2 linked regions of the Lytechinus pictus genome follow. The protein of the gene in region 2 interacts with the protein of the main gene of each other region in a pairwise test. Links are inferred from orthologs where the notes say so. Each region holds a gene or a part of one and is shown on either strand. Other genes may lie near its edges.

What was found.
Region 1: the proteins of kinesin-like protein KIFC3 (region 2) and bystin-like interact in binary tests that used the Homo sapiens proteins (3 or more experiments, as listed by UniProt). The link is inferred for Lytechinus pictus from reciprocal best matches to the Homo sapiens genes KIFC3 and BYSL.

Annotation. Positions count from the first base shown.
Region 1 is NC_087245.1:8,159,007-8,176,327, forward strand, and holds the start of bystin-like, read right to left. Parts: upstream 6,673-17,321; 5' UTR 6,425-6,672; coding exon 6,281-6,424; intron 1-6,280. Other genes in the region: uncharacterized protein LOC135153137, read left to right, coding at 11,273-11,275, 15,677-15,781, 16,982-17,056. UniProt on the Homo sapiens protein: Required for processing of 20S pre-rRNA precursor and biogenesis of 40S ribosomal subunits. May be required for trophinin-dependent regulation of cell adhesion during implantation of human embryos.
Region 2 is NC_087246.1:61,469,381-61,486,231, reverse strand, and holds the start of kinesin-like protein KIFC3, read right to left. Parts: upstream 6,852-16,851; 5' UTR 6,532-6,851; intron 4,873-6,531; 5' UTR 4,748-4,872; coding exon 4,724-4,747; intron 1-4,723. UniProt on the Homo sapiens protein: Minus-end microtubule-dependent motor protein. Involved in apically targeted transport. Required for zonula adherens maintenance.

The sequences.
Region 1 (17,321 bases), on a different chromosome or scaffold from region 2:
AAACTCTTGAAAACCTTCTGACATTTTCAGGACTTTGATCTGGCACATTCAATGAAAGCCTAATGTTCTGTCAAGGGATATCAGACCAGGATCTATTATTACTGATATCTTGCACAGCTTGATTCTCAAGAACTGGAAGTAGTGCTGTAAGAGTTTTGTTAGGTCGATGGATGTGTACTTGTAATCTATCATCTCCTTTTGAATTTTATTATTATATGCCTACCGGTAATTTGTGCATAACAATCAGTTGTTTTGGACCAAATACACGATCCTTGTACAAAATGATACCTAGTAGAAGATTAAGCTAATAGTTTATATTATTCATAGCATTGAGGTGAGTGGCCTATCGCTGGAGAGAAAAGACATGACAACCTTGATTTAGATATTATTATGCATTAAATGCTGCTACTTAAGATAAAAAATATTTCAAATTATATACTTCATTTCATTGTTTTATTGCTTTTGGCAACGCATCGCAGTATATGAAGAAGTGTTATTTGGTTATCAACTTTTTTTAACTTAATTTCCACTGATATTTTGGAAAGGGTTCATTGACCTCTGACCCCTAAATCCATTCTCCATGACCTTCATTATTTCAGACTGAAATCATGAAACCTCCAAATTTTAATTACAAATTAGCCATCTTTAATTACATTATTCACAAATAAAATATGAACACAAAGGATAAATTATTGGTTATTTTTATGTCATACAGATTATATACATACATATATATATATATATATATATATATACAGTGCGTCCCACAAAAAACGAAACCGAGATTTATCAATGATTTATCATAACTTAATCACAAATATAATAGACAAATGACCTACCATTGTAAAGCTTAGAATCTCCTCTTTCATCTGGAATTACTTGGATTATTTCTCATTCACGCATGAATGAGCAAAAACAATTTGAAGAGGGGATACCAAAAAGTCATTTGGCGGGCTGTATCTGGGTTTCAAAAAGAAAACCACATTTTTGAAAAGTTCAGTATCTGCTCTTTAATTTGATACCTCAATTACCGAAAATGGTCAAGAAATAAAAAAGTTCTGGTTATTTGAAATAAGGCTTGAATTTCAATAATTTCATAAAATGAAGAGGTTTTACAGGTTAGCGTCAAAGTCACTCGACACTCCGTTTTGTTGACGATCAGCCATGCATTATGTCTTTTGTTAACCATGCGATAGCTTCTGTGGGAAACCGGTGAAAACACGTTTATTTAATGAAATTATGGAAATACAAGCGTTGTTTCGAGGGAACATAACTTTTGTACTTCTTGACCAATTTTGTGATTAAGGTATCATATAAAAGAGCAGATATTGAACTTTTTAGGCATGTGATTTTCTTTTTGAAATTCAGATACCCCTCGCCAAATTAGTTTTTGGTATCCTTTCTTCAAATTGTTTTTGCTCACTCATGCATGAATGAGGAATAATCTCAGTAATATCAGATGAAAGAGGAGATTCTAAGCTTTACAATGGTAGGTCATTTGTCTATTGCATTTGTGATTTAGTTATGATAAATCATCGCTTAATCTCGGTTTCGTTTTTTCTGGGACGCACTGTATATATACATACATATATATACTAACATATATATATATATATATATATATATATATATATATATATATATATATATATATATATACATACATATATATATATACTATATATATATATATATATATATATGTATATATATATATATATATATGTATATATATATATATATATATATATATATATATATATATATATATATATATGTATATATATATATATATATATATGTATATATATATATATATGTATATATATATATATATATATATATATATATATACAGTATATATATCCTCTGATCTTGGATTTCAAGGGTGGAAGTTTATTCTTTATACTTATTTTGGTGTTGTTTAATCTTCTTATACAAGTTTTTGCATTTTGGCACCAAGATCACCAACCTGCGGTGTTTTATCTCAGAGATACCATTATTATTATCTAATGTTACAAAGGATATTTACATTTGTCTTTGAATTTTATGGGTGAATGTGCATTCTCGATGCTTACCGTAAGTAGCGGTCTATTAACCGCACCTTTTTCTCGGCGGGATAGAAGCAAAAGTCGGGGGTGCGGTTTATCCACGGTGACGGGTCTGAGCCAGCCCGCCGTAACCCTTCCCGAACATGTAAGACGTCTGCCAGTTCACAACACATCGAGTGGCCGGGCGTAGCCGCCCAGGGCAATGTCGTTTAGAGGGGTATGAGCCGCGGGTAATGAGAAGCGATTATTACGATTATTACAAATATTGTCCATAACAAACGCACCCACCTTCATGACACTAATTTTGACTTTATTCTCGGTTCAAAGCAGCGAAGTTCCCTTTCAAAGAGATGCCAAGCATACTCGGTAATATTTTGTCACAGCTGAGCGAGCGCGAAAGTTGAGTGAGCTGAGCTAGCTAGCTTGCGTTGTATATGGTTATAGTGCGACTTAAGCTGGCGCTATAACCCTCGATCCCCCTCCAAAGTCCTGTTTCGCACCAGCTTATTTTTTCTTTCCCGTTTGGTTTTCATAAGATACCATGTACACCACGCACGAGAGAGACGGCACGAAGCCTTAAAAACAACTGTAAAAAATGCCAATTTCTTTGTTTCTTGAACCTTCCTGTAATCCCGTATCAAAAATTCATTCTAAGACATCAAATGCTAGACAAATTATGAAAGTGATTGTGAGTTTGTGATGCAAGAAATGTGAATGTTTCTTCCTCCTACGCCGGGAAAGACACAGATCATTAATTAATAAGATGTACTGGTAGTGGTACCGTATTGTAGTTTGCGATGTACAACAACAGCATTGCTGTGTGTGTGTACACTGTGACTGTGAGGTGAGTGAGTGTGTTAGTGGCCAATATTGTCGAGACCTATCTTTCTTGCTAACATTTGTAGATGAATTGATCAAGAACAGCAGATTTCCGCATACCGGTAATCTCTTTGGATACTTTGAAATCTTTAACTTAGTTTTTGTTTCTTCATACCTCAAATATAATGTGAGAAGGATTGGGGTGCGGTTAATCCACGGGTGCGGTTTATAGTCCGTTACTTACGGTAATTTTATTTAATTTAGTCTTCCTACAGGTAAGAATCTGTGTATTTTGACACCAAGAACACCAACCTGCGCCGTTTTATCTTAGAGATACCATTATATAATATGATATATAATGTATAAAAGATCATTGACCTTTGACCTTAAATTTTATGGGTCAATGTGCATTTTAGGTACTTAATTTTATTCTTTTTGATCTTCTGGTAGGAATCTGTGCATTTTGACACCATAATCACCAACCTGTGCCTTTTCATCTCAGAGATACCATTATACAGTATGGTATATAATGTAAAAAATAATTGACCTTTGAAAAGCTTTGACCTTGAATTTTATTGGTGAATGTCCATTCTAGATACTTAATTTATATTATTTGATCTTCTTGTAAGAATCTGTACATTTTGACACCATGATCACCAGCCTGTACCTTATCTCAGAGATACCATTATACGGAATGGTATATAATGGAAAAAAGGTCATTGACCTTTGAAAGGCTTTGACCTTGAATTTCATCGGTGAATGTGCATTCTAGGCAATAAATTTTATTTTATTTGATATTCTGGTAAGAATTTGTGCATTTTCACACCATTATCACCAACCTGCACCCTTCCATCTCAGAGATACCACTATACAGTATATATGAAAAGGTCATTGACCTTGAAAAAAAAACACTTTCCCCATCCCGTATTCCTCCTAACTTTTTTTGGTAAATGTTGACACCCATACCTACTCAAATCAGTTGAAAAACCATTTCCAATAATTTTATTCCAGATTGGCTAGTTTGGGGTCTAATTTAAGGATACTATATCGCTGCCGAGATCGCACATGTTCGCTCTATCACCCAAAAATCTGCAATGGCCTCCGCGGGGGTTCCTTACGGCAGGAAATTTGACACCCTTCCAAATATGGCATGATCCTAAAAATCAAACATATCGGCCGATTGAATTTGAAACACGAGCTGTTGAGGTGCGCGCGCTCGTTTTCAGAACGAAGTTGCATGCAACTGAGCGAAGACATCCGATGTTCGGAGCCAAAACAAAAGAGGTCCATTTGGTAAGTAAACAGGGTTGTTGATTTTTTTGATTTTTTTTATTTAAATCTGATTTTTATGATTTAAATCAGATTTTTTTGATTTTTTTCCAACGAAAAATAATGGTCACACTTAACAAGTTTTAAACTATATTTAAACTGTTTTACACCAATAATAGTGGTCAAGTAGTCTTTTGAACATTGTGTATTGTACTATTTGACACAATAATCCACTTATATACAGGTAATTTTTTTATTTTTTTTTTATTTATTTGCATTATAGAGAGGGACATTTTATGGAAGCCCAAGTAATGTTATGTATTATGTATACATTTAAACTCTTGAAATTTTTATATCAGTCAGTTCAAAACATCCGAAGTGTTACTCCAATGCATGAAGTACTCAAAGAACTTGAGAATTTCCAACAAAATTGACATTATTAAAGGCCTGTTAGGGTTCTTATACTGCCCTTGGGAATTCTAGCTGGGAATATTTCCTAGAATTATCACATGGGGGATTTTAGCTAGGAATATTTCCTAGAACTATCACATGGGGGACTTCCCAACTAACAGCTGGTAATAGCTAATAAACAAAGGGTTTTTGAAAGAATGGGTATTAATAGTAACAAGGAGGTACATACAAGTAGTTCAACTGTTTTGTAAAAGTATCCAAGTTGTGGACTTTGAGCACCTTTGTAGATTTTATATATTATTTTATTGAAGATTTAACAGTTTGGTGTAGATACAGAGAGTTATTTATCATTACTTCGTTAGAAACTTGTTGTTTTCATCAGTTTTGCTTGTTTTACAATTTGAAAATAAAACAGTGGTGTTAAATCAGACTCCATGAGGGTGTATCATTCTTTTAAAGTATCTCTAAAGCATGTGGAACAGAAATGAAAATGATTACATTGAAAGTATCTGTTAAGAAGAAGAGAAAATAGAGAAAACTAATTTTTTTCATAAAAGTTGATTTAAATCAGTGATTTTTTTGAAAAAAATCAAGTGATTTAAATCGCGATTTAAATCATGATTTAAATCGACATGATTTAAATCAAACAACCCTGTAAGTAAATCATCATTATTTACCGAGTTCTATATCAAAATTATTGATAATAATAATAATAATTAAAATCGGCATTTGCACAGCTAAAATAAATTATTTTATCAACAATTAAGCAATTATTTTGGGGTCTAAAAAAGTTAGAGCGTGATGACATACATTATGATATTCAACATTTATACTACAGAAATAAACATTATTTTTATTTGATTCAATGAATGTATTTTATTTTTGGTCCAATTATACTTAAGTGTCCGATATTTGGGCACTTTAGTCTTCTTTACTCTCTAAGTCTCTATCTTGACTTTGGTCTTTGTCATGTTTCAAACAAATTTTATTAAAATCGGATAACATTGTTTGTCAGTAGAGGCGCACGGCCAATATTGGAGACTATCTCCAATGTGGGAGATTATCTCCAATATCAGAGACTTTTGTAAAGAATTTTGGTATCCAATTTTAGAGACAGTCTCCAGTTTTGGAATCCAATTTCCTTTGTTTACATTTGCTGCAAAAGGATTACCTTGGCGGCAAATAAAAATGTGATAAGCAGATTCCTCATGAAAAATTACCCCTTTTCACCGTCTACTTTTTGATAAGGATTTTTGTTGTCAATCACACACAAAACAAATGGGCTTCTGACCTCAGTCAGTCAGTGAGACAAAATTTGGGGTGGAAAAAATCATGCTTTTGTTGGTGTTGTTTCTTTTGTCCTTTTGTAAAGCAAGTCTCCAATGTGGGAGATTGTCTCCCCTATTGGAGAGAGTCTCCCATATTGGTCGTGCGCCTCTACTGTTTGTTATCCGATTTTAATAAAATTTTAAGCATTTTGAATTTGATCTGTGAATTTTACTCTATTTATTTAGATTTAAATATTTTCAGCCCAAAGTATCCCTTAAAGTCTACATTTTATGAAATTGGTACATATACTTTCTAAATTATGACATTTCAAAACCAAAAACTAAACCTTGAGGCTTGAAATTGAACTGTTCGGTTGTCTTCAATCACGACACACACGAATTCCCATGTATGGGACTGATAGTGATACGCCTAGATCTAATTGAGTAAAAAAATGGCCTTACACAGTCCTCTTCATCCTTTCGTCTACGTTCCTTCACTCGTTGAGAGACTTTGAGAGTGTCTTCATTTTCTATTTGCTCTGCCAGTGGTCCACTCGTGAAGACAGGGTCTCCTCTTTTTGGTCGATTCTTCTTTGTTTTCCCCATAATAATATATTACTAATACTATTGTGATGTCAATATCAATTAACACAATTCACGTGTACCGTACCGGTATAAAATATACCGGTACTGTTGCTGTCGACATGTCGCGCTCGGCAGCAGTTGCAGCATGCATGCATGCAGTCAAAGACCTTATAATATATTACGGCATGCAGTAGTATAGTCAGCATAGCATAGCAGCGGTCACGTCAGCAGCTAGCCGAGCTCTCTCTGGCTAGCGCCTGGCGACTAATAAGCACGCGCAAGCAATGAAGCTAGCAGATTAAAAAATAAAATAAAATAAACAAATTTCTTTCTTTTTTGTGGGTATTATAAATGTTGATTTTTTCTAGGCAAATTAAGTCAGTACATTCTGCCTACATGTTTTGTTTTGTTGCCTTGCTAAATTTTGTTGTTTTTCTTTACACTTAAAATTAAAGTTGTTGATCCCCCGGTTGATAAGGGAAAGTAAAGGCGGGCCGCCAGGGGCCCGTTTCTCAACACCGTCATATAAGTCTAACTTCTTGACTAAATCAGAGATAGTGAGCTACTTGTCCGCTAACCGTTTCACGAAGCCCTCTTTACCAAGATCGGGTACAACAACCTCACTAAATATTTTTGACACCTCCGAACCTGTCATTTAAGGGAGGCGCGATAGCTCAGACGGTCGGTAGAGCGGGGGTTTCGGATTCTGGTGACCCGGGTTCGATTCCCAAGTGGTGCGCTAGTGCCCTTTGGTAAGGCACTTATCCCCGCACTTATCCTCATTACCAGGTCCCTCGGAGAGGACCTTAAGCCGTTGGTCCCCTGGTTGCTTGCTCACAGGCATTCGTGCTTTCTTAGCAGTCAGGTAAAACAACCTCTATAACATAACTTCTTTCTTAATGACGTAGTGGCCGGCATCACGTGGGTAGACTATGACATGCAAAAGTGCCTAGAAATTTGAAAATTACAATCTTACGTAAAATGCAATCATAGAGGTTGAAATTACATCACAAAACAAGTGGGATAATGCATTCAATGATCCTTGTAATACAAAGAAAACTATAAATGTATATGTTTTTTTAATTATATTATGATGGTGATGCTGTTTTGTGCGCGGTTCCATGACTACCACAATCATGAATGTTATTATTTTAGTTCTTTTCGCTGTGAGCTTTATTGGATCCCTGAAGAAGACGTATGTTTAACGTCGAAAATTTGGAATTCAAAATAAACTGTTGGAACTAAGTACAATACATTACCACTTTGCCTCATTAATATCATCTATGTCCAACACGCGGAATGTAATATCGTTATATATATATATATATATATATATATATATATATATATATATATATATATATATATATATATATATAAAACGGAGATTATGAAGTTGATATATATATATATATATATATATATATATATATATATATATATATATATTAATCATAGATTTTGAAAGGAGCGTATAGCTCTCAGAAATCTGTCCCAAAAGGTACAGACAAAAAAAAGAAAAGGTTATCACCCAAAATGTAAAGTCATTATAACCCCAAAAAAAAATTTGACAAGCAAAAAAAAGGTTTTCACCAAGAAATGTAAGGTCATTTAGTCCAAAATACATGCATTATTTTTATTGTAAATGATGAATTTTTCTCACTCATAAAATATCATAAATAGTAGGGGGCATTTTATATTGTGTCCCTCTACTATTTTTGTCGACGCCCCTCCCCCCGTCCCCCTGCACCCCCCCCCCTGGGATTTCCGCCCATGCATGCATGAGTGCCCATGATGTGACAAAAAGAGAATTTAAAATCCGTTTCTGAAACAAATCGTGAAAAACACATCTGTTCATGGGCATACGGACTGTGAAACTATACGTGACCTTTCAAAGAAATCAATGCGCTGAAGATGGAGGAAGCGCACTGTAAAAGACGCATCTAAACACACGTTGCCATGACTGCAAGATGACAAAGGCGTTTCTCTGCCTCCAAAACAGGAAAATGAAAAGGCCTCGCCGCCAACAGTCGAGGTTTAACAGTAAAAAGTACCTGAGTAAAATAGAAATAGACTGCTTCGGCACATGGAATAAGATAATTGTAATGGTTTAGTAAATGCCGTATATATATATATATATGACGATATTACGTTCCGCGTGTTGGACATAGAAGATATTAATGAGGCAAAGTGGTAATGCATTGTACTTGTATATATATATACAGTATATATATATATATATATATATAGTGTCGAAAATCTGTCTATCTGACGGTCAATCGGATCGGGGTCGCCCTAGCCACTAACCCGTCTCTGTGGTCTAGTGGTTAAGGCACCGGCGTCAAAGCTGGGGGCCCGGGTTTGATTCCCGGCAGAGACCTTTTTAAGGCATTGCCAATTTTTCCAAAGGGTAGATAGCTCTGGGGAACCTTGATTTAAGCTACGCCTACCATTGTTCTCTTCATCCATTTCTTTCACAAAATATTTAAATAAAAAAGCTGTTGTACATGTATAATTTCACACATTTGTATATATTATATATATATATATATATATATATATATATATATATATATAATTATATATTGTAGCCGAACCGACTTTCTTTCCTGACGAGCTGGTTCGTTTAGGCTGCAATATGCAGTGCGTCCCCCAAAAAACTATACACTTTTGAAATGGCTGCCAAATAAAAAATGTATCACCTCGGGGGAAAGCCAATATACAAAACAAACTGGAAGAAATTGGAAGGCTAATTCAGGCCTATCTAGCCTAATTTCCATACCCTTTGTTTCAGTGGGCACTGCTCGCTCAAGCATGAAAGTTGGCTTTATTGGCTTTCCATATATATAAGTCTCCCCCCCCCCCCCAAGTGATACATTTTTTATTTGGCAGCCATTTCAAAAGTGTATATTTTTTTGGGGGACGCACTGTACAACCAGTTGGTGTAAAGGGCCGTCGGCCTTGCACTTCTGACTCTTTTTAATTGTTCCTTCTCACTCAGTAACTTAGATTATTTTAGCTCATGGATTTCAACATTTCCGTCATTCCGTATCTCCATTATCTCAATCATTCTAGTATTCAGTATCTCCGTAATTTAATCATTTCGGTATCTCAGTAATTTCAGTACTCTCAGTATCCTCACTCATCTCAGTATTTTCCGTATCTCAGTAAAGCCAGTATTCTCACTCCTTCTAGTCAGTACTTCCAACACTTTCATACTTCTGCTTTTCCGACCATTGTTGCTAGCTCCATACAACAAAATAACGACAAGTAAGAAGCAAGCATTCATCTCTAGCTCTTATAACTTTACTGAAGAAATCAAACTCATCCTGTCCCAGCAGGTTCCATTGAAAATTGGGCAGAGTTTCGCGCAGAAACCTCTTTGTCAAGCATATGGCATGGCTCGTAACCGAAGATGTGTGTGTGTATTTGAGTTTTGTCAAACGTGTATCAATCAGATATGATTTTTTACGTTAGGAACGACCTTTAACGCCACCATCCGAAAGACGTGACCAGGTCCCGAACCTCGAACCTCCGCATCAATTTGTAACTTCCCCACATAGCTTAGATTGCAGGCCCACGCTCGATTATGGTCAACTTTTGGTTACCGCCTCTCATCAAATTGTCAGCTATAGGCTGTTAAGCTAGAGCCTGATTAAAAAAAAAAAACAGTTAAATTCATAAAATAAATCTTTCCAGCAACGGCAATGGTGTTTGTCGCTTTTTTTATACCCAAACAGTAAGGAGCAATTAAAAGTAAATAATATGAGCATATAATTGTAAACATCGTTTTTTCTCAGCAAAATAATTAGTAAATTTTATACATTTTAAAGAAAATACCTACATAATCGATTACAAACAATCGATTACTGAATATGCAACTATATATATTACAGGGATTAAAAATATATTCTACGCTCTTCACTGTCACGAACCATACTGAATTAAATAAACCTTTCATTTCGTAACAATATATATAATATATATTGTTTAGGGAGATATGAGTGGCATTAATGCTTCCAAATAATTGAAAATAAATTTTATAAGAAGTCCTTTTCACGATACAAAACTGCCGTTTTCAGGTCAGCATATCAATAAATTTTGCTTGCATTGACAACTTTAGGCTTATCTGGATTCAAATGTCGCTTGAATTAAAATCTGTCCTTCTTCAGATCATATAGCTCGTGCTTCGCACCGCATCATTATATGCCTCTTGTTCATGAATTAAAATGGTGCTGCAGCCTTATGATTTTCAATTCAGATCAAAGAGAAACAAAAAATTTCAGCTCTGGCTTCACGCTCGCATTATTGGTTAAATAATAATTCAAATGACTGCCCCCTTCGGATCAGTAGAAAAAAAAAATCAGCTCGTACTTCGCGTTATAGCATTATTGGTTCAATACAAAGAGATGTATAGTATACATCTCTATGGTTCAATATGATAATCTTGTTCATGCTTCAAATTAATGGTGGTTATGAAGTAGACCCTAAGGCTAAAATGCAGATAGTACGCAGAAAAAATGCAATAAGTGATATTCTCCATCGCAATATCAACCCCAAAATTTCACACAAATTTTTCTGTAATCCACCCCCCCCCCCCCCCCTCCCTTGGAATTGTTGGATCCGCGCCCCATCATTACTTTCTGCACCTTCGAGAAAATTAAAAAATAAATAATTAAATCTTTTTTCGGTCGCTACCGTTACCCTCCTACTATTGGTCGCCGGTAATCGCCAGTTTTTGCCGCAACGCAATAACGCAACGTAAGTTTGCATGTATGATTCAAGTGAGCGTGCGTGTGGGCGATTTTTGACAAAGGAGATTTTTTATTTTACTTTGAAGAGGAAACAGGGAGCAGAAGTAAAAGTTGGATGGTGAGTTGGAAGAAAATAGACTGTAGTGAAGTTTACTTAAAAAGAGTGAAAATTGGCACCGTACTCCAGCCTTAGAATCTAGTCTCTAGAAATTACTTTTGTTGAAGCTCCACATTTCTTGTTGAGAATCTGTACGGTACCGGTACCGGTACGGTATACAAATAGCGAATAGGCACGAGTGCGATGGTGCGAGATTTCGCATGAGGTGAAAGAAAGATGCTCTAAGTCTAAAATAAAGTCTAAGCCTCTATTCAACGAGGCGTGAGCCGAGTTGAATAGAGCGTTTCTTTCTTTCACCGAACGCGAAATCTCGCACCATTGCACGAACAAGAATTATTCGCTATTTGTGTTGTACAACGCCTCGGAATTTAGCGAAAATATGAAAAAACAAAGCCGAGTTTATCCCTAGGCTAGGCGGCTAGGCCTATACTTACTAGTATAGTAATCTATGAAAAGGGAGCAAAAATACCGAAAGCAGAAAGCAAAATCCGTGTAGGCGCACATGACATTGGGCAGCCTTGCGTATTTAGCCAGCGCAATGAATTAAATCGTAATGTGACGTCACCTCCTAAAGCCGTGCAACGGTACATTTTGGATGGTACGTCTTTTGTGCAACGGTACGAATGTTTGACATTCAGCCTCCCATTTGCTCGCGTACAACAAGCTAAGACTAAGTTAGGCTAAGTAGTAGACCAAAAGCTTCAGTCTCTGTATTTTGGTTGTTCCGCTGAACTACGTTGGCTCCACTCACCATACATAGACTGAAGGGGATGGGGCCCCGTACCTACACTGTAAGCCAACGTATAGCAAGGCTCGACATTAGCGGTGGCCCGGGGCCACCAGAAATTCACCTCGGGCAACCATTAATGAAAAAATATTAAGTTTTGGTGGCCCGAACCGGGCAACCAATAATTTTCAGATTAGTGCAATTTTTCTCCCCCTTTTGCACGCATTTATCAACTTTCTACAATTCAAATTGCAAGCCAGTTCGTCATGCGCCCTTTTTGTTGATCTACACACAAACACACACACAAAGTTGGCCTACCGCTATAGCATTAAGTAGCTTTTATCCAGCCGGCTGCGCCGGCCGGCTGGCGTGAGCTTTGCATGCTTGAAGCAGCTGTGCGTTAGCAGCCTACTCAGACTCAGGGAGCTGCGATACGAAATGTTGCTGCTAAGAAATCTTCCACAGAACTATGAAAATCCAAGTCAAAGTCACATTTTACACCAATGAAATGCCCTTCTACAGACCTTTTTGCTAAAATCTGGTGTATCCTGATTATTTGCAAGCATTAAAAAGAGGAATCATGACCTCTCTTTTGACTCAAAAAGACCGATTTCCAAATGAAAATTATATACATAAAAACACATAGGTGAGTACATCACAGTCCCACATGTGCATTTGTATGTATGTTTTTACTTGGTTTCTTTCGAAGCTGCGTCTTTTCCGGTCTTTTCTAGCCAAAAATAAACAGACAGTTACTTTCTTTCTTGTTTATAAATGATTTCTTAAACAACTCTTGAGAAAGAAAATACTTTGGGAAGGCATTTCATTATTATGAAATGTGAATTTTTCCAACATTTTGGCAAATTTAGGGAAGGAATTTTCTCACACTTTTTTTTGCTGTTTTATTATTTTCTTTCATTTTTTTTACAGTGGTTAAACCATTTATACCCATTTATTAATTTTTAATGTTTTTCTTTATATTTTTCGGGCCACCAAACTTTAATATCGGGCCACCAAAAAAAATTATTCAAAGATTTTGGTGGCCCGAACGGGCCACCACCAAAAAAAGTTAATGTGGAGCCTTGCGTATAGTGAACTAGCGTTTTATAGATCGCGATTTAAAACTGTTTTTTAAGCAAAATTGAAAGTTTCATGGTTTCCATTATCAGGGAAATATAAATAACTTAAAGGGGAATCCAACCCTGGTATTTCTGTATCATTTTCAAATGAAGAGTTTGATTCTGATTAATTTGATACCAAATTTATCCGAATCGGTTAAGCGAAACTGGAGTTATTGAAAGATTACGAACCCCAAAGTAGGTCTTTCAATTATCGTCTGCTGCTCATGCAAGTCGCCATTTCTAGTAGACCCCCAGCGAAGGTATGACGTATGGCACGGACATCTTCGATCGCGAGCGCTGGCCTGGAGAGATCCGTCGCGCGCTAGCAGACGCTATTTCTATAGGTTCAGTGTGCAATTTACCGAGCAAGATGGTGTTTTGCCAGGCCTACGGCTGCAACAACAGAACTGGAAAAAAGTGTGGAGGGAAATCTTTCCACCGATTTCCCAATCCCAAAACTAGACCGGACGTTTTCAAGAAATGGGCAGCAGCAGTGAAAGTAGAGAAATTTCTGCTAAAAAGCTACAAATGGACTCCAAATGACCAGATATGTAGCGATCATTTTGTGGAGTCCGACTACGAAGTCGATCTTCGTGCAAAATTGATGGGGACCAAACCGCGGGTTCTTCTAAAAGAAGACGCTGTTCCGTCGGTATTTTCATTTTCATCTTCATCGGGACCTTCGACATCATCAAGAGATGAGCGATCAGCTCAAGCAAGTTGTAAAGAGGTATGTTTTTCCCGTCTTTATTCCAAAAAGTACATGTTTTGTAGCTTGTTTGTGAAAAGTGAGTGCCATGGCCACGTGAGTTTTGCTTTGATTGCGTGTGTACAAATACGTCTTGTGGCGTAGTCTCTGCACATGCAGACCGCTGTTTGTTTGTTGATGTGAATGTCTCGCGATAAAACATCTATTTGTGATTTGATTTCACTTGTAAATTATGATAGTAAAAAAGGGTTACTGATGACGATGAAAAGATCATGTAGCTGCCCCGACTTCTTTATTCAAATTGGTATGTTTCTTTAGATCTAGACCGCGCTTTGCTTGCACTTTTTGCAGCCATCGATCTATTCTGACGACCGTGGTGGTGTTCCCTTGGACTTGCCATTCCCCATGACTAGCAGCCGCAGCCTTAGCTGCTGCATGCCTCGAATGTTCAGTGCGCTGTGCTCTCCCCCGACAGTATATGGCCATGATTCAGGGGCGGATCTAGGATTTGTCAAAGGGGGGGGGGGTGGGAAAAACGACAAGGGAAAAAAGAGGATTGGAAAATTTGGGGGGATTCTGTTTTATACTGTTATTTTTAATAGCGTTTTTACATTACAAATTTTAATTGTGCCTCTCAAAGGGCGGGGGGGGGGGGGCACGGGAAAGCTGTGCCCCCCTGGATCTGCCAGTGCCATGATGTGTGTGAAAGTCACAGTCCTACTTTTTTATTGTTTTGAAATTCGAAGGCTGCTAATTTTGCTAACACTAACGCTACTACGGTACATGATTTGTATGACCTTCTTTCTTGGTATCATGTTTCCATTGGATTGGGCAGGCTAGAGGCAGTGTTGGAGACAGACAGTGCGTGTGCAAGGTCCTGTTTATCATAATATAGGAAAACAAAAAGTTTGAAAATAGAGTCTATCAGTTTTGACTTTGTTCTTGACTGATCAATTTTCCATTGTGAGTGCTGTAGCCCCTGAATTAATCCACTTTGTTTGCTAATGCAGTTTATTTACAGATTAGCTTATCCTGGACCTGGTAGTGGTAGCTAAAGATTTTTGGTCTTTTTCTTTGCTCTTTTATTTTTATTCAATCATAAAAAACTTAGACTTAATTCATTATCATCTAGTCTTTAACCAAACGGCAAACGCCTGTTATTTTATTTATTTATTATTTACTTTGGAAGGTGGTTGGACTTTTTACACTAATATTTCATGCTTCCCATTGATGAATGCTGCCTAGTGGCAATGTCTTGTAAAGTGTGTGAATTGTAAAAAGCATTTGGACTAAGTTTATTTGGACCTGTATGTGAAGTGTTTTCAGGAAAACAAAGAAGTTTAATATTGATTTATCTCATTTGAATAAAACTCCTTTATATCGGAGGCACTCATAAGACATTTGGTACATTCATACTAATTTAAAAACCAAGCAATGAAAACAGCATAAAAACATCAATCCTTTTATAGACAGGGGTGTTTTAAAAAGAATGCTGTTCAAACAAAAAAAAGGCCTACTAGTTTTGGCATTGTTCTTGACTGGCGAACTGTCCATTGTGAGGGCTGAGGCTCCTGAATTAATCCACTTTGCTGCTTATACACATGAGCTTACCTTGGTAATCTAGATTATGGGTCTTTTGCTTTGCTTTGCTTTTTCTTAGATTTATTAACATCTTAAAATTTTAGTCTAAAAAAATCATTGTATGAGGGTGGAGATGGCAAGGTCATCAGAGTATTTTCCCTCATTTATTTTTCTGTCAATTTTTGATACATGGAACTAACCAACTATGGCATTCTTTAATACCTGTACCTGATTGAATCATTTACTGATATATTTATTTGCAGTATCTTCGAACTGTTCTTGGAGAACGTCCTAGTGATCAAGGCGGTAAAGGCACACCTAAGACTGATAATGAATCCAATCATCCATGTACATCAACTTCTGATGATGTAAGCAAGCTTTCAATTTTCTTCCAACACTAGTGACAGATACTCAGAGAAACTACTTTCTAAAATTGCAATTCTTTTTTTGCCCATCATGTATAAGCACTACACAAAGTTGTCCTACAAATCAAGTAAAGTTTGTCCTATAGATCTTTGTAAACTGATTGTTTGATTGTCATTTTACCGATAAAGAATCAGAATGTGAGCACTTGTCAATTAGAAAATATTATGAAGTTATGCATTTATGTTAATTAATTCTGGTATTGGGGTAATTGGAACAATTCTGCTTGTGCTTAATGGTTGCAAATCATTTAGACATTGTGTTGAGTGTATATATGGACTGCATTGTTTGCCATGACTTTAAATCAAAGCACTGTATGTACTTTCAAAATTATAAAGTTCAAGTCCTTGTATAGAAACAAAAAGTTTATATTAAATGGTTGGAACTTGGAAGCAAACCTTGTGTGCTACCATACAGCGCTGGTTAATGATAATAAAATATTTCAGGCTTGCTTGAAATTATAGTCAATACAGTAGCACGTATGTGCTTTTCTAGGTATAGCTAACAGAGGAAACAACATTTAGGACCAAACTATAAATAGACCGGCATTTTGCAATCTTCAATTGCTTATTACTCTTTAATTTCCTGAAAAATTGTTTGATATATATATTTGAAATTCTTTATAATTTTTTTTCAATTCTGTGAAATTTTACTTTCTTTTATGAGGTCTATACATGTTTGTCATGTAAAAATATCTTGGTAGATCTTTATTTTTCATTTCATTAACCACCAGCGTATATCAAGGACATCAAGTGAAATGATTTCATGTGTTATATTGTACTACAGCTTGTTTTAAAATAGGGCTCTAGTATACAAAGTCATATTAGAATGCAGTTTACAAGACAGAAGAGTAGTTTTGGGGAGAAATATGAAATTAGAAGGAAAAAAACAAATGAATTCATTTGTGGTTTCTCCGCACATTTTTTTAAAAAACAAACTTAACATTTTGACTTACTAGATATTCATTCACGTGTTAGGTTGTGATGAAGTAAAATAATACTCTGTCCATTTTTTGTTTTGTTTTTCTATACCTTATTTCTTAAAACTATTTCGTCCTCACTTGCATTTCATTGTCACAAAACAATCTCTTTTCAGAAGTGTCAATTTGATTATCATGTTGTATCATTGCAAATTCACTATTACAGTCGGTGTTACCAATGGAAGGAATTGAATCTGGTGGAGATGCTCCAAATGAAGAGACAACACAAAGCAGTAGTCAGGTATGTTTTCATTTTCGTCTCACCTGAACGAAGTTTGCCAGAGGCCCAGTGATCACTTTTTCTGTTGGTCTGTTACAAAAATGTTAAAGTTTTTGTTCAACTTGCTCTTGTTTCTTTATTTTTGCATCAATTATATTCATAGTTTGCTTAAATGATCATTCAGTAATTGTGTGCTCATGAGAATAATGGGTCAGGGTCAAAGGCCATCTAGGGGGTCAAAAGGTTAACTTTTGTTCAACTGATCCTTTGGTATTACCATGGAGCT
Region 2 (16,851 bases):
TAAAACCATGTTTCTACAACCTCAAACAAACGAAGTGATGTCATTCTGTGACTTTCTTGAAATGAAAATTCTAAAATCCATAGAGCAGACCTGTCATAGTAAAAATCCAGTATTTCAAATACTGGCATTTCATAAAGCAGCCAGCATCTATAAGTTAACCAAAATACAATTTTCATCTTTAAAAGATGCAGCTGGAAGCTCCTGAATACAAACACCTGTTATAATGACTTTTGATATTTAACACATAGATTTGAACAAGCACTCTGAATTCCTGCTTTATACAGTCTACATTGTAGGGTCCTTGATTGCTTGGTTTTATATAAAGATATTGACCTTTGTGCAGGTGTCATTTCTTTTGATAAGGATGGCCTTTGAAATGCAGCAATCAATGCTTGTTGAGTCTGGAGAGTGGAGAATATTTCTTATTCCATAGTTTCATATCCTAAGTTAGATCGAAGCACTGATCTTCAAGACAATAAATAAGTGTACTTATCAAGGATAAAAGAGTGCTAAATTATGAAACCTTTCATATATTGTCTTTTTTAATAGATTAACTAATTCCCTTTTAATATCATTTGTAATTATTTCTTAATTCAAAACAATGTATCAACTGATTATTTATCCATAAATTTTATGAAATCCATAGGTTCAAAATTTATGTTTATTTTGTTCATTTTTTTAAAGAACAAAATAAACATGAATAAAGTACACATATATGAAATCAATAGCTAATACATGCAGGCCTACTACATAACTGTATGGGTAGGTATTAATGAGTGAAATACTGAACAAAATCTGACCAATGAAAATCTGATTAATTTCTTTTGTACCTCTTTTTCTCAAATTGTAATGTAGGCCTATTTTCTCTTTTTGAAGCACCTACAGTGTATGTGCACTGTATGAATCTAATGGATTATTATCACCCCTTTCTTTGCAAATTTATCCTTATAGCTAATTTCTTTGAAATAAAGAAACTGGCCATCTGAAAAATAACAAATAGAATTGTGCACTTCTGAGTGTGATCATTTAATCTAAGAAGACTACAGTGTACATGTAGATTAATTACAATTATATGATAAAAAAGACAATGCAGTAATATGCAGTCAAAACCAAGGAGGAAGATGAAGTGATACTTCCTCGGTCAAACTGATAGAAAAATAAACTTTTACTGATTTTAAAATTATATCTACACCATGATGCTCCTAGGCGGGAATATTCTGAAATTACATCTGTACATACATGTAAGTCTAGCTCATTTCTACCTAACAGGGAAATTTGACTCACAAAGTCACAACAATGGCAGTTTGAAATTAAATCTGGATTGCTTCTCTTAAACAAAGCAAGCGTCAGCTGTTTCAATACAGACAGTGTCAGACATCACACTTCATTTCATTATTGTGTGGTTGCTAAGCAACCATGCCCAATCTCAAGAGATTAAACGACCCTTAAACAAACATGGACTACAATCTGCTTCTTAATTTCTTATATAGGCATGATGGGATTAATAAATATAAGTTTTCCATAGCATAGTTTCATCATGGAGGCAGAACTTCTACAAGTACTTGCCTCCATGGTTTCACAAGGGAAGTTGATGGAAAGACCTATAAAACAATAGGGGTGGTATTATCATACAGGTTGCATTAAGGGGATAGTTCACCCTGAAGAAAAATTTCTTGTAAAAACACCATTAAAAATAATTATATTGTTGAAGGATTGAGGAAAAATCCATCAAAGATTAAGAAAATTATTATAGGAATTTGAAGTTTTGGATTTGTGACATCATATATGAGCAGCTGCCGTAATAAAAATTATAATATTTGTCTGTTGATATACTAAAGGTACAATTTTTTACATCGATATACATGGGAAAGCTGCACGCATATAATGTCACAAATCAGAAAATTAAAATTCGTATAACTTTTTTAAACCTTTGGTGGATTTTCCTCAAACCTTCACCAATATATTTTTACTACTTTTTCTGCTTTTGATACAATACACTTTTTGTCAGTCTTCCCCTTTTTAAAAGGAAACCAAAACCCAAGAAGTGAAGCAATCTTATTGGAAAGAGTAAAATGAGCGGAACAATTTAAAAAGTTTCATCAAAATCAGTAATGAAATAAGCAAGTTTAATATGGGAGTTTGAAAACTCTTGTTGTACTTTCTATGGGGATCCTCAAATTGGCAAACATGTTTCAGAACAACTCTCCTTTTGTTTTGTACACAAATTTTCAGATTTTCCTCATTATCATTCTAATTGCGTCTTGCCTCCTTCTGAGCACAACATATGCCATGGGAAAATATAATTCACACCACATATTTCTAGGTCAGGAAGAGATAATGTGAAATATGTAAAATAAAGGGGAAAATCTGATAATTTGTGTACAAATCAAATGGAGAGTTGTCCACAAAATCAGCCATTTTGAAGCACGTTTGCCAATTTGAGGATCTCCATAGAAAGAAATTACCACAAAACTTTTTAAACGTCCATAACTTGCTTATTTCATAACCAATTTTGATGAAACTTTTTTTTTAATTGCTCCTCTCATTTTACTCTTTCCAATAAGATTGCTTCTCTTTTGGGGTTTTTGGTTTCCTTTAAAACCACACTTTATGGGGTGCCAGTTGTCAAATTATTCACCAAGTGAAGATCATTTTCCAAAGATATCATAATTTGAGAAAATTGGTCTTTATAAAAATCAAATTATGTTAATTTACATAATTTTCAAGTGACAAAATTTGTTCTTTTTCAAATGTAAAACTAATCAAAACTGCAATCAAAGAATCGTTAAAAGAGAATGACATCATTTCTAAAAGTTGGCTCAGATGTTTTACTATACATGTAGGCCTATACTTCCAGTGAACCTTTGATCCATAACTCACATTATGCACATATATCATAATCCATAAAATAAATCCCAAGTGATTTGATTTAAAATCAAAATTCATGATTCTAAGTAATTGATAGTACCCAACTACCCATAATACAACAATTAGTGTGAACTTTGAATACTATACAATGCAGATCAAAATATAACAAGTCACAACTTTACCTAAAAATTGCCAAATTTAATTTTTACAGGCCTATTTTCTGCAGTGCTCAAGAGCTGAAGTAAATGTTTAAAATTAAACTAAGAAGCAACTTTTTTAAGGCTGGGTAATAAAGTGCAAGTAAATCAAGATATAAACACAATAAGTTTGAATAAACAATCAAAGTGTTACATGACGTAATATATATAGACGACGAACAGAAATCAATATTGTCACTTGTACATTGATTTTCTCATTGTATCTATAATCTATGGCGTGCAAATGCCGCTTATTAGCCTTGAAAAGAAATATTGATTGCCAAAAGTATAAAAGCTGGTGTATGTATCTAGTTCAAAACTTCAAACCCACTATGAATATTTATTTTGTACAAAATTATATTTACAACTTTCTCTCATATAGTCAGTAAAATTCTTTCACTTCATGCAAGTACTAGCTAGTATAGCTTAACATTCGATTGCAAGATAGAAACAGTACATGCTCGCTAAAATAACACTTTTCTCTGCATGCCTATTACCAAGTTATTAAGCTAACACTAGCTAGCTCGCTGCAAGCTAGCGACTAGTTAGCGGTTACGTATCATGAAGTTTCTGTGAGGTTACATGTACATGCAGCTCTCATATAATGAATTCCAACAAATTTAACAAAATGAGAACAAACGCCAGAATTTGAAAATATCTGTTAGCTTTATTCTGGGTTCAGTGGGGTGTGTATTGTTTGATAATTACCCACACTTGAAAAGCTCCAATAATTAGCATTTTGGGCAAATTTACACCTATTGCTAGGGTTAAGTAATTGTTTCACATTTTTAGATAATAAGACACAAAATTTCATACATTTTAAATGATTTTGTTCATTCAAAATGGTGTTCTGTCCATTAAAAACACAAAGTCCAAAAATTTTAATATCCAAGGGAGATATTTTAAATACATGAATGCACAGCTAACCAAAAAATGGGGGAGGGAGTGTCGGTAAGTTTAAAGCCATCAATATATCATTTCATAAACTTACAGTTAAAAAAAAACACTTTACAATAATATTAATCATCTCTAGGACAAACCATCGTCAATGGACATAAAATTTAGCACCCATTATCAAAGGAATGCATGCATTATCTGACCTTTCAAAGAGCAGAATCAAGTGCACTTTAAACATGAAATTCTGCTTCCATCTAGGTAAAAGTTTATTCACATTTGTAAATCGGGGCCAAATTCTTTTTTGAGAGCATTTCTTTAAAAATCATAATTTCTATAATATTTTTGACAGAAAATTAGTAATTACTGGGAAATTAACCTAAAAGCAGGCATTTGAAACTATCGCAAGAGTGCTTCAATATCTATGAAAACATCGAAAAAAAATTATATTGATCAAACAACCAATAATCTACAGCATCTCTCTCTTCTCATCTGTTCCACTTTAATAGACAAAATAATAGTAATAGGGACTTATAATTCAATCTTTAACAACATGCCGGATAAGCTTTTATTGGTTTGTCTTTTTTACTATATCTATACAGCATGTATCAAATTAATTCATCAGAGAAGTAACTTTGATCCATATGAAAATAAATATCCACATATCAATCACTTCATGATTATTCATATAGTTTACATCCCTGTATATTGGTGATATGATGCTTAAAAGAGAAAAAGTAATTACAAGGAAATGAAGTACTTACTCTGGGACTAGTATGATGATACATGGTGAGGATCTGATGGATTTCTTAATCAACACTTATTGAAGCCTGACATGCACTTTGAAGATATCAAGTCATACTCGGTACGTTTGTTACCAATACATGTATGATCATCATCACGAACACACCATCTACAAGAAAAATCAAGAATAGGAAATAATGCAGACAGAAAGCTGGACACAAGAATCTGCAACTCAAGAAAGATGAACACGATCATCCTACATGTATATGCACTGGCTATTAGGTTTTTATACATGTAGACCTATAGATATAATAAACTAAATTTTGTTGGCTGACATGCCCAGTAGTAATCCTCAAATTTGCAAGTCCTACAGTACCAAGCCTAGCTACCAAGGATATAGAGTCCACAAATGTGTCATCAATCATGGCGATAACATTGTCGGGTCAGATTTCTTCACTGAAGGCCTACTGATGAAAAGGCATACATGTAGTACATATGGGTTTGCATCCCACTTTCAAACTTGCTTGATTCAATTTATTTTTTAGAATTATGAATCAATACCTTTTATTCCGTAAAAAAAAACTTACCCCGGTAATTCAACAGAATTTAAGGATAAAAAAATTGACTTATAGGCCTATTCACTTGGTCTGGAAGAGTAAATGGTAGCTAGCTAAACATACGGTACATTTAAGAACGAATTGGGTCAAAAAGACGGACTGAATCCAAATCAGTGTTTCCACAGATCCAAAACAAATTTCCAGAAACTGAATGCCAAATTTCCCCAAATTCATAGACATTTCCTTGAAGTTTCAAGATTGATTTTTAACAAAAATACAAGTAGGGCAATAATAAAGCAAGCCTAAATTTGGTCTAAGTGACCAAAATCAAGGAAATCAAAGTCAAGGTACATTTTTTTTGTGTACGCCCTCTTTTAAAATAGGAAAAAAATTATGAAATGTGAGCGCGGAGCGCGAGCAGAAAATTTTGAGCTACATGAATATTAAAAGTTGCTACGTTTAATTATTGTGAATTGTAATTTTTGGATTTCCCAGAATTTTTTCATTTCCCAAACCTTTCCTAGAAAAAGTCAAAATTTCCTGAATTTCAGGAAAAGTGGAAACACTGGGCCAAATGCAATAAATTACAAGTATAAAAATCATGTGCCTAAAGGCTAAAAGTATTCCAACTTCCAAGGATGACAAATAAATTCCACCGATACAGATATCAGACATACATGCACTATAAGTATACATCAAAATACTTTCAAGGTTTTCTTTTAAAATATGGGCATCTTTCCATTTCCAGACAGTGCAATCTATTGAGAGCTGATCGCCAACCCGGCCTCAAGAATTGAGGCGGCTATACAGACGAATCCCCATACAGACAGTATACCCAGTTTTTGTGTGTCCGGACAGGTTGTGTGTCCGGACGATCAATTTTAGGAAGTCATTTGAAAAAAAATCACAGGCGAAGTTTCATCAATTTTTAGTACAAAATGTAGGAAATATTATAGAGAACAAAATAGAAGATGATTACAACTATTGAATTCATATTTTTAGGGTAATCCAAAGACAAAAAAGAAGGCTTCAAAAATATAGTGTCCGGACACCCAACCCCCCATCCTATCCTACCAAGACAAAACTGCACTGTCGCACACACTCGACACTGCACTGAGCTGATATTGATTCGAGACCAAAGTATTCTGCTATAAATTTTATCCTTATACTCGAAAAGTCGAGATATCCGGATTCTAAAGCAATACAATTTGACATGAAACTAATGCGAAACTCATTTACATTTAAATTATTATGATTTGAGAGCTACTTACCACGCAAATAAATATTTCCTTCCTTCGATAGAGTTGGCTTCCAAGTCACCGCACTGGTCTCGAGTCAAATCCTCACGAGTCGAGTGTAAAAGCTCGATCGACCGGGCCGGCCGGTTGCGTTGCCGGTGACACGCACAGGAGATCCTGAGCGTTCCTAGCGATATCGCAGTTATGGAGACGAGACGCTTTTGATTGGAGGCGATGAGGATTGAGGGCAATAAAGAAGCCGGATGTGTACAATACACTGAACTGAAAATCAGTGGTACAATACAGTGGTATCCGCCAGCCGATCACTTTGGAATTTGAAGACGGCATACCTGTATAGGAATCAGCTTGGGGGGGGGGGGGGGATGACCCTTGGAAGCGGGGGTGCTGGGGGTGAAAGCACAACAAAATTTCCTTGAGGTGCTGTGTGTAGTATTCTCCATAGATGTGTAAAAATGGAATAATGTAACCAATATGACTTTCATTTTGTAGTGAAACTTTATTTTTTTGCTTTTCAAATTTTTCTCCAGACCAATTTTACTTCCATTTTGTAGTGAAAACTTTTTTACATGTACTTACCTTTGTGAATGACAATTTCTAGCATTGACCCCCAAAATAAATAAATAAATAAATGAATAATAATAAAAGCGGGGTGCACGTGATCACCAAATAACTTTCCCCGTAATTCCAACAACAAAAATTGATAAGGTGCAACAAATTACCCCTGTGCCTCATCAGTTTGTATTATAGGCCGAAAATTCACAAAATAAACGATGTTTTGAAAACGTAATAAAACAGAATATTGGCTTTAATCAATAACCTAAATTAAATGGGGTCAATTCAAAAGTAAGATAAGCCTAATGAGAGAGAAGTATAAATAATTATGTAGAAATATAGGCCTAAATGAGCTCACCGCGGGTACCCTGGTAAAAGGCCAGCGGATGGCAGTGCAAAAATTGCATAAGACTGAGGGGAATTAAAAGAAGCCGATTGAACAAGATCATTAGGCTTGCACTTTGGTAACATGACATCGGGGCTATTATATAGAAATATACATATAATGACAGCGGTACCAACACTGGGCGAGTTGAGAGTGTAACATACAATGGCATGATTTAGGTCGGTCAAAATAGTGAGATCGATAGAAATGCGCGTGCAAATGAAACAAAACTTTTGAGTTAAAGGGATGGTCCGGGCTGGAAGTATTTATAGCTTAATAAATGGAGTAGAATTTACAGAGCAAATTGCCGAGAATTTTATCAAGATCGGATAACAAATGACAAAGTTATTGAATTTTAAAGTTTAGCAATATTTTGTGAAAACAGTTGTCATGAATATTCATTAGGTGGGCTGATGATGTCACATCCCCACTTGTTCTTTTGTATTTTATTATATGAAATTAGGTTTATTCAATTTTTTTTCTCCCAAGAACTAGAAATTTTGGATTGACAACTGATTTAGTGCACTAAATATTTATTGCTGCAATTTATTTCATTATAAGGGAGACATATTATTCACACGAGTATGAAATAATGAAAAAAATATGATTTTATGTAATAACATAAGAAAACGGAAAGTGGAGATGTGACATCATCAGCCCACCTAATGAATATTCATGATGACTGTTTTCACAAAATATTGCTAAACTTTAAACTTCAATAACTTTTTTATTTGTTATCCAATTTTGATGAAATTTTCAGCATTTTGCTTAGTGAATTCTACTCTATGTTTTAAGATATAAATATTTTCAGCCCGGACCATCCCTTTAAGTGAGAGAGGACCAAAATGAGTGAGTCTCACTCTCAATGAGTGGGAGTTGGGAGCCCTGTGAAGTGGTGGTGGTGGTGGTGATGATGATGATGATAGTGGTGATGATAGGCTGCTGCTGCTGCTGGTGATATAGGGATATAGGCCATCAGCGGCGGAACTGCGTGGCCAGGGGGGAAATTATGCCCCCCCCCCCTTGCCCAAGAGATATTTTGTTAATCGATCATCAGAATCAGTGGCGTTATAGGTAGAGGCAAGATGTCTCTACATTTAAGGAAATGGGAAAATCTAAATTAAAGGAATATATAGGGAGAGTGAGGCGGATCGATCGAGGTATATATACAGCGACAGACAAGACCACAAAACAAAAAATAAATAAACAAAAACACAGAAAAAACGAGAACAATACGGAGGATTGGAATCCCTTCCATGTAGAGTAGGCATAAAGGGGAGGGTGCTCCTATACCTGGGGACGTGGGGGGGGGGGGGGGGCGGGGGTGGGAGGTAGAACATCACCTTTTTATATATTTTTTCCTCTCTTGTCATTTAATATTTCATTTTGTAATTGCTGAAACGCATCAGTATTAATTTCCGGTATCTTTGAAGTTTGATGTATAATTTTTATAATTCTATGGGTTATGGATTTATTGCATAATTTATAATCATGTTTCAAATAATTTGTACAACTTGCTTATGGAATGTGAATGTGTATTTTGATTTGAGAGAATACAATAAAACATCCTTTAAAAAGATTAATATTGCGATGTTAATGAATGGGTTCATTTCAATTAAAAAGTGTTTAAATTGACCCATTATGCATTTTAAAAACAAAAGATTTTCTCGAGCGGTCACTCCGCCCCTTTACGGAATGGCCATGACAAATTCCACTGTTAGGCCTTATTGCAAAGTTTTTATCAGCTGCATCACGAGAGTATGGTTATAATGAGTTACTGATCACAAAATGCCTTTAATAAAACATTTAGGACAGCATTCAGGGGGGGGGGGCACACTAAAAGCGGTATACATTACAAGTTTTTATTATGGCTCTCAAGGGGAAGGGGCACACGGGCCGGCTGTGTCCCTTCCTGTATTATTAAAATTTAAATCAAATTTTATAAATATTTTATTGTGAATGGAATTATTCCCAGAATTTCAATGTTGTCTCATCTCTGAATATGATTTCAAAGATCATTCATGTAAATATTACCCCTTTCTGCATTATTTTCCTTTTAATTTCGATTTCTGTACTATTTTTTTCGGTTTTGGATGTGTTTATCAAACATTGTCTGTGGTGGCCCATGATATATATTAAAAAGGCCCCCTTATTCCCGATCATGGTCCCATCTTTTTTTCCATTCTAATCTCACCTCTCACCAGTGAGCCTGAGTTCTCATTAAACAAATCTCGACTCATTATAATCCTCATTTGCTCATAATTTTTTGGGGTACTTTTGTGAATTTCCTTATTATCTTATACGACTGAAGCAACCTTTGCAACAGACAATAGTCATTGAAAAACAATATTGTGATAGGCCGTCACCAAAAGTGGAAGTACATGTTTTACGAACGCCTGATTACATAGTCCTTGATGTGGGGTGCCTCCGAATTTTCAGCTCATCATCGCTGCGTGCGAAAAAGAAAGTTACCATGGTAACATTATCGACAATTTCTAGGATGAATTAATTACTAGGGGTGTCCACTTTAAAAATCGTTTCGTAGAAGAGAACTGCATGTAGAACAAAAACAGTAGTAGCAAGAGTCAACTGAGATATGAGAAGAAATGAAGAATACAAGGAAGAAGATGCTAGAAATAATAATAGATAGATAGAATGATAGATAGATATAGATATATAGATAGATAATTAGATAGGTATATAGATAGATCATTGATTTGTTGGTTGATTGTTTGATTGATCGGTTTATTGATTGATTGATAACTTGATTGATTGATTTACTTATATTATTGATTGATTAATTTCATTTCCCAAGTCATCCTAAAGTAATTGATTTTATCCATCAAATAGTATGCTTGAACAGGATAACCCACGAAAGCTCAGAAGCTTATTTCCAGAGATATAAATGGGGAGGAGAAAAATAAATCACCCAAAACACTAAAAAAAAACTTACAGCGGAGAAATCTGTACTTCGATATCATTGCATGGACACCTGCATTTTTATTTTATTGTCATTTTTATTTTATTGCTATTCGATAAGCATAATATATAAGCATGCTCTTTCATAAATGTTTTGTTTCTGGAATCATTGTATCGTATTTTCATGATTTTTGTTGAATTTGACTTTTGTACATACTAAATATATATATAAGGATTATCAATTTCAGAGAAAAAAGAGTGAGTAGAAAAGCAAGAGGTTAACGGAGTTTTGTAGGGTATAAGAGGATCGAGGTCCGAGAGAGGAAGGGTTAGAGACGCAGAGGGAGGGCTGACATAAAACTATTTTGAAGGTAACAAAATATTTGGCTTTAGTTACAACTTATGACTTTATGTGGTGTATTGAGCCAAAATTATCAATGGGGCCAGATTCGGGAATTTGTGAAAAATATATGCAAGGGAGAGAAGTGAATGGGCAAAATTTGTGACCTTTTTTATGATATAAAATATGATTCTGGGATAGATTTTGACTATTGAAAACTATCATATTTCACCTTATTACCCCCTCTTTTTTCCATTTTCTCCCTTGTCTATACACGATAGTATTTATTGTCAAATGATTTCAATAAGTGCAACATGTGCATTCTGAAAATATGAGCGAGCAAAAATTTCAGCATTTTTATGACACAAATCCATTTTGTGATAGATGTTCACATTCAGAAAATAAAATATTTTACTCTTCTCCGTTTCCTTTTCTCTTTTTTTTTCTTGGTCACAACTTTTTTTTTTTTTTTTTTTTGGGGGGGGGGAAGAGCCCCCCTTCCCCCCTTATGTACGCCCCTGCTAATGAGCAAATATGCTAGATTTATCCAATTTTTTTTCATGGCTGCATCTGCAAAATCTTGTGAATCAGATTTTTTTTCTCTAAAAATGTATAATCAAGTCAAATTAAACATCATTGCACCATTGGACAGAGTAAATGTTCCTCTTTCATATTAGTCATTTATTTTGTATTGACTATTTTGATAAATAGTGAATTTCAGGCATGAATTTTCTTCCCCTGTTTTCTTTTGCAAATCATGCAAAACCTTTTATTTTGAGTCTTAAGTTAATAATATCTATATTATCAGAAGCTGGAATTCTGTACTTTCTCACAATGTCACTCTTGATATGTGGCAACTTTTAATTGGGTCTAGATCACACTTTTCCCACCAAAGTACAAGACCAGATTAATAACATTTTGGAGTAGCCTAAAATCCAGAGTCCTGGTTAGCTGGATAGGGTTTCAAAACAGCTAGCAGGTGCAGGTAATTTGAAGAGATTACCGCATGGGGACGCAGGGGCCACGGAATGGTTTTCAAAGTGAGGGGGGGGGGCTGACCAAAATATCACAATCATATGTAGTAGACTTGTTAACTGCAAAAAAAGGGGTGAACGCTGCATTTTTTAGTACAAATGTCCCACTTGGCACAAATGTTCCTTGAGTCAAAAGAAAAGGATTCATCCAAAGAGACACGCTGTATCTATGCAAATAAGCAAGTAATTTGCATAAATTTGCATATTATGTCGATATAGTAAAAACAAGTATTTCAGAATATATTTTTAACCAGAACTGCCCTAAAATTGGAAATAAAGACTTAGGGTAAGAAAGGGAAGAAAATTGTCATAAAATAATTGGGATATCCTTGTTTATTATTACCTAATTTACATAAAATTATGCAAATTATAATTTAAAACAAAGTATTTTTTCATGAATCCTGAACTGTTTTCTAAATAACAGCAATTAATACACAATGTCAACATTCTACATGAAAGAGAATATATTAGCGAAAACATCGATATGCTTCATGACAGTATTAGTGTCTTAATTTGCTTAGAAAGAGGGCAAATATGTCAAAATGTATGACGTGATATTGCGCTAAAACGAGACCAAAACAACCTCTATGTCACAGTCACACTCACGAATCGGACAATAAAGCGATCAATGGTATGTCATTCGAGATAACAAAATCTCAACACAATAGCTTCCATCGGCTTCTCGTATCGCTTTTGTTGGTGTGTCTGCCACACCGTAATCTATGGTATATACGGGCAAAATGCATTTCGGTATCGGTAAAACACTATTAATTTTGTTTTATTTGTTTCTAATTTGTTTCTCTTGGAAAATTTACAGGATACATTGCTTTGCAGGTTACTGCTTTAATGAAGCTCTGGCACATGAATCATGACGAATGTACCCCACCTCAATCCATATTTTAACTTTGTTAAAATATATATCTTTTTGAGACCCCAAAGTGGCAAAACTGCATTCCCCGCGGCATTCCCGCTACTTTACAAAACCAGTTTGAGTTGTATTATCGACTTGGAAAAGACAGATGTATGAGACATCAGTTAACATGTTTCCAGAAGATAGTTTTTTTTTTATTTAAGCCTACGTCCATGGGAGCCCTCCGAATTTACCCCATCCCCTCTATGTATTTCGACACTAAATAAATAAAAAATATCGTGTTTTAAAGCCACCGGCAAGGCAAATTGCGTTTTTGGTATAATAAAGCAACTTTTATATCTATATTTCATATTTATCTATATTAATATTATTATTATCATTAATATTATTATTATTATTATTGTTATTATTATCATTGTTGTTGTTGTTTTGCAGTTTGTAATAATGCTCTAGCACAGTAAAGGCTATAACCCAACAGGAGCATGCCTAGGATATCCTTTCCCCTTTTGGTTTTATGTATTCAAAAATAATTTATTGTCTTTAGAACTCATATCTTGGAATAGATTGAGGTGAAAATACTCTACAATTGACATGTAGAAGAGCTGTGATACATTGAAGAAAAGCCACACGTAAGCTCTAAAATACCCCTTTATTGATTCCACTCTATATTAAATTTAAATATTTTTAGAGTCCATTCGGAAGAAAGATACATTTCTACTACACACAGTAAAGCCTCTTTACTTTCTCCTCTTGAAAAAAAAAACATAGAAGGCATTGTTTTATATCGCATAAAATAAGTTCGTGTACATGACGGTGGCCTGTCGAAGTTGCCCAACCCTTTATTTTGTTTTGACAATATATATTTAGAATATCGTCTAAATGAAGCCCTCATCTGGAAAAGGGCACTTATTAAAGGCAGCATCTACATTATATAGAGGATGCCCTGGTACTTGGAAGCGGGGGCTGAAGCACCCGCAAGATTTTTCTGAAGGGGGGGGGGGGGGGCTGTGCTGCGTGTGTTATTCTCCATAGACAGCACCCCCTCGAATTCCGGCAGATGTGACAAAACGAAAAAAAGAAATGTTACCAAAAAAACCCCTTCATTTTGTAGTGCAATCCATTTTGTTTATTTGCTTGTTAAATTTCTTGATGTTAATTTGAAAAGCAAAAAAGTTTCAATGTAAAATTTTGGTCCGAAGAAATTTAACAAGCTTCAGCCCCCTCTTCCCAGTGCCAGGGCTTCCTCTATATAATGTAGATGCTGCATTTAATAAGTGCCCTTTTCCAGATGAGGGTTTCATTTAGACGATATTCTAAATATATATTGTCGAAACCAAATAAACGGTTGGGCAACTTCGACAGGCCACTGTCACGTACACGAACTTATTTTAAGAGATATAAAACAATGCCTTCTATGTTTTTTTTTTCAAGAGGAGAATGCAAAGAATATAAAAATATAGATATAATAGTTGCTTTATTATACCAAAAAACGCAATTTGCCTTGCCGATGGTTTTAAAACACGATATTTTTTTATTTAAAGTCGAAATACGGAGAGGGGATGGGGTAAATTCGGAGGGCTCCCGTGGGCGTAGGCTTAAATAAACAAAAAAAAACTTTCTTCAGGAAACATGTTGACTGATGTCTCATATTTTCTTTTCCAAGTCGATTATACAAGTCAAACTGGTTTTGTGGCGGGAATGCCGCGGGGATGCAGTTTTGCCACCTCGGGGTCTCCAAAAAGATATATATTTTAATAAAGTTTAAATATGGATTGAGGTAGGATACATTCGTCATGATTCATGTGCCAGAGTTTCATTAAAGCAGTAACCTGCAAAGCAATGTCTCCTGTAAATTTTCCAAGAGAAACAAATTAGAAACAAATAAAACAAAATTAATAGTGTTTTACCGATACCGAAATGCATTTTGTACGTATGTATCATAGATTACGGTGTGGCAGACACACCAACAAAAGCGATACGAGAAGCCGATGGAAGCTATTGTGTTGAGATTTTGTTATCTCGAATGACATACCATTGATCGCTTTATTGTCCGATAGGTCCATGGTGTGACTGTGACATAGAGGTTGTTTTGGTCTCGTTTTAGCGCAATATCACGTCATACATTTTGACATATTTGCCCTCTTTCTAAGCAAATTAAGACACTAATACTGTCATAAAGCATATCGATGTTTTCGCTAATATATTCTCTTTCATGTAGAATGTTGACATTGTGTATTAGTTGCTTTTTTTAAAATGCAGTTCAGGATTCATGAAAAAATACTCTGTTTTAAATTATAATTTGCATAATTTATGTAAATTAGGTAATAATAAACAAGGATATCCCAATTATTTTATGACAATTTTCTTCCCTTTCTTACCCTAAGTCTTTATTTCCAATTTTAGGGCAGTTCTGGTTAAATATATATTCTGAAATACTTGTTTTTACTATATCGACATAATATGCAAATTTATGCAAATTACTTGCTTATTTGCATAGATACAGCGTGTCTCTTTGGATGAATCTTTTTCTTTTGACTCAAGGAACATTTGTGCCAAGTGGGACATTTGTACTAAAAAATGCAGCGTTCAACCTCTTAACAAGTCTACTAATGGTAATTTTTACGATCTTGTACACAGTTTTGGAAAAAAGTGGGGGGGAGGGGGCTGAAGCCCCCCACTTCCGCAGCCCCTGGGGAGTGTGACATTGGAGGTGTCCAGCATGGAAACTGTTGGAAATTGGGTGGGTGTGTGGTCTCTTTGACCAATCAGAGTGCAGTATTCTCATTTTCAAGCTGCTTTGTCCTTGGCCAATGAAAGTATGATCTTGACCAATTATAACCAATTCTTATTTTGAAACATATATCATTTAAAAACATACATGTTCAGCTTTATCATGATATAAAAATCATTGTGGGCTCAAACAAAAATAAAGTGTTAAAAGAATAACTTTTGTTAGGTAAAAATAATTATTTACTAGCCTGTTTTAGATCATAAGTTGCACCTACATTACAAAATCTTTAAATAAATTCAACACATGACCTGAAAGAATGATTTTTCTTTACAATGAAATGACACCAAAATCATTAAATTAAATATATATATTTAGAGCAGCAACCTTTCTAGCCATGAATATCACTTGGATGAAAAATGATACTTTTTGAGGACCTGCCAAGTTACTGCTCTCTTAAACCTATATTTGAAAGTCTAGTCCACACAAGGTGGTTAATGAACCAAGAGTCTCGCCTGATTTTGCGATCAATTAAGTGTGCAACATGATCTTTTGACCCCGAGATGACCGAATGATTATTTGTATCAAGTGTAAACACAATAATTAATGTAGAAATAAGGAAATATGAGCAAGTTGAAAAAAAAGGATGGACATGATCTCATATTATTTGACCTTCTTACCCCTAGATGAGTAAAATGACCTTTGACCCCATCATCCTCATGAACACACATGTGGTATTATCCAAGGATCATTTGTACGAAGTGTGACCATAATTGATGCAGAAATAAAGAAATAAGAGCAAGTTGAACAAAAACTTCTTTTAAACCCGATAACCTTTTACCCCATCATCCTCAACACAAAGGTGGTATTACTGCATAATTTGTACCAAATGTGAAAAAAAAATCACAAGGGGGCTCTTTGAAATAAAGGAGGGGCCTGAACATTTATGACCCATCATTTCTTGACATGTGGCCTTCTGTTGAAGCCAAAACACTAACAAAAATAATCAAAGGAAACAGTCATCCTGACGTAATGTTGGTTATAAAAGCAGGACAAAAGAAACTTATTGAAGATTAACAAATATATTGATTTTTAAAGTTCCAAATTTTGTGACATCACATGTGAGCAGCTCCCCCATTATCATGAGAAATACATTCCATAAAATGCCATTTTCTACAAATAATTGAAAATTATTTTGTGCGATCATCAGACACATCATTCCACACTCCCTTGTACAAGAAAATATTTTCAGTCATCATGAACCATAAAAATGGTAATTAATTGAATTATATAACATTTACAAGGAGCAGCTGTTAATTACATGAGAAGTCACAAATTTGAAAGTATAAAAATTAATCTCTCTTATTCTTTGAAGAATTTCATCAAACTTTCACTGATTAACACCTAATCATCTGAGTGAACTTCTGGAAGAATTGAGGGGGAGGGGGCAACACAGGGCTCATCACATTCTTTCTCATCCTCAAAAACAAATAAACACATTAC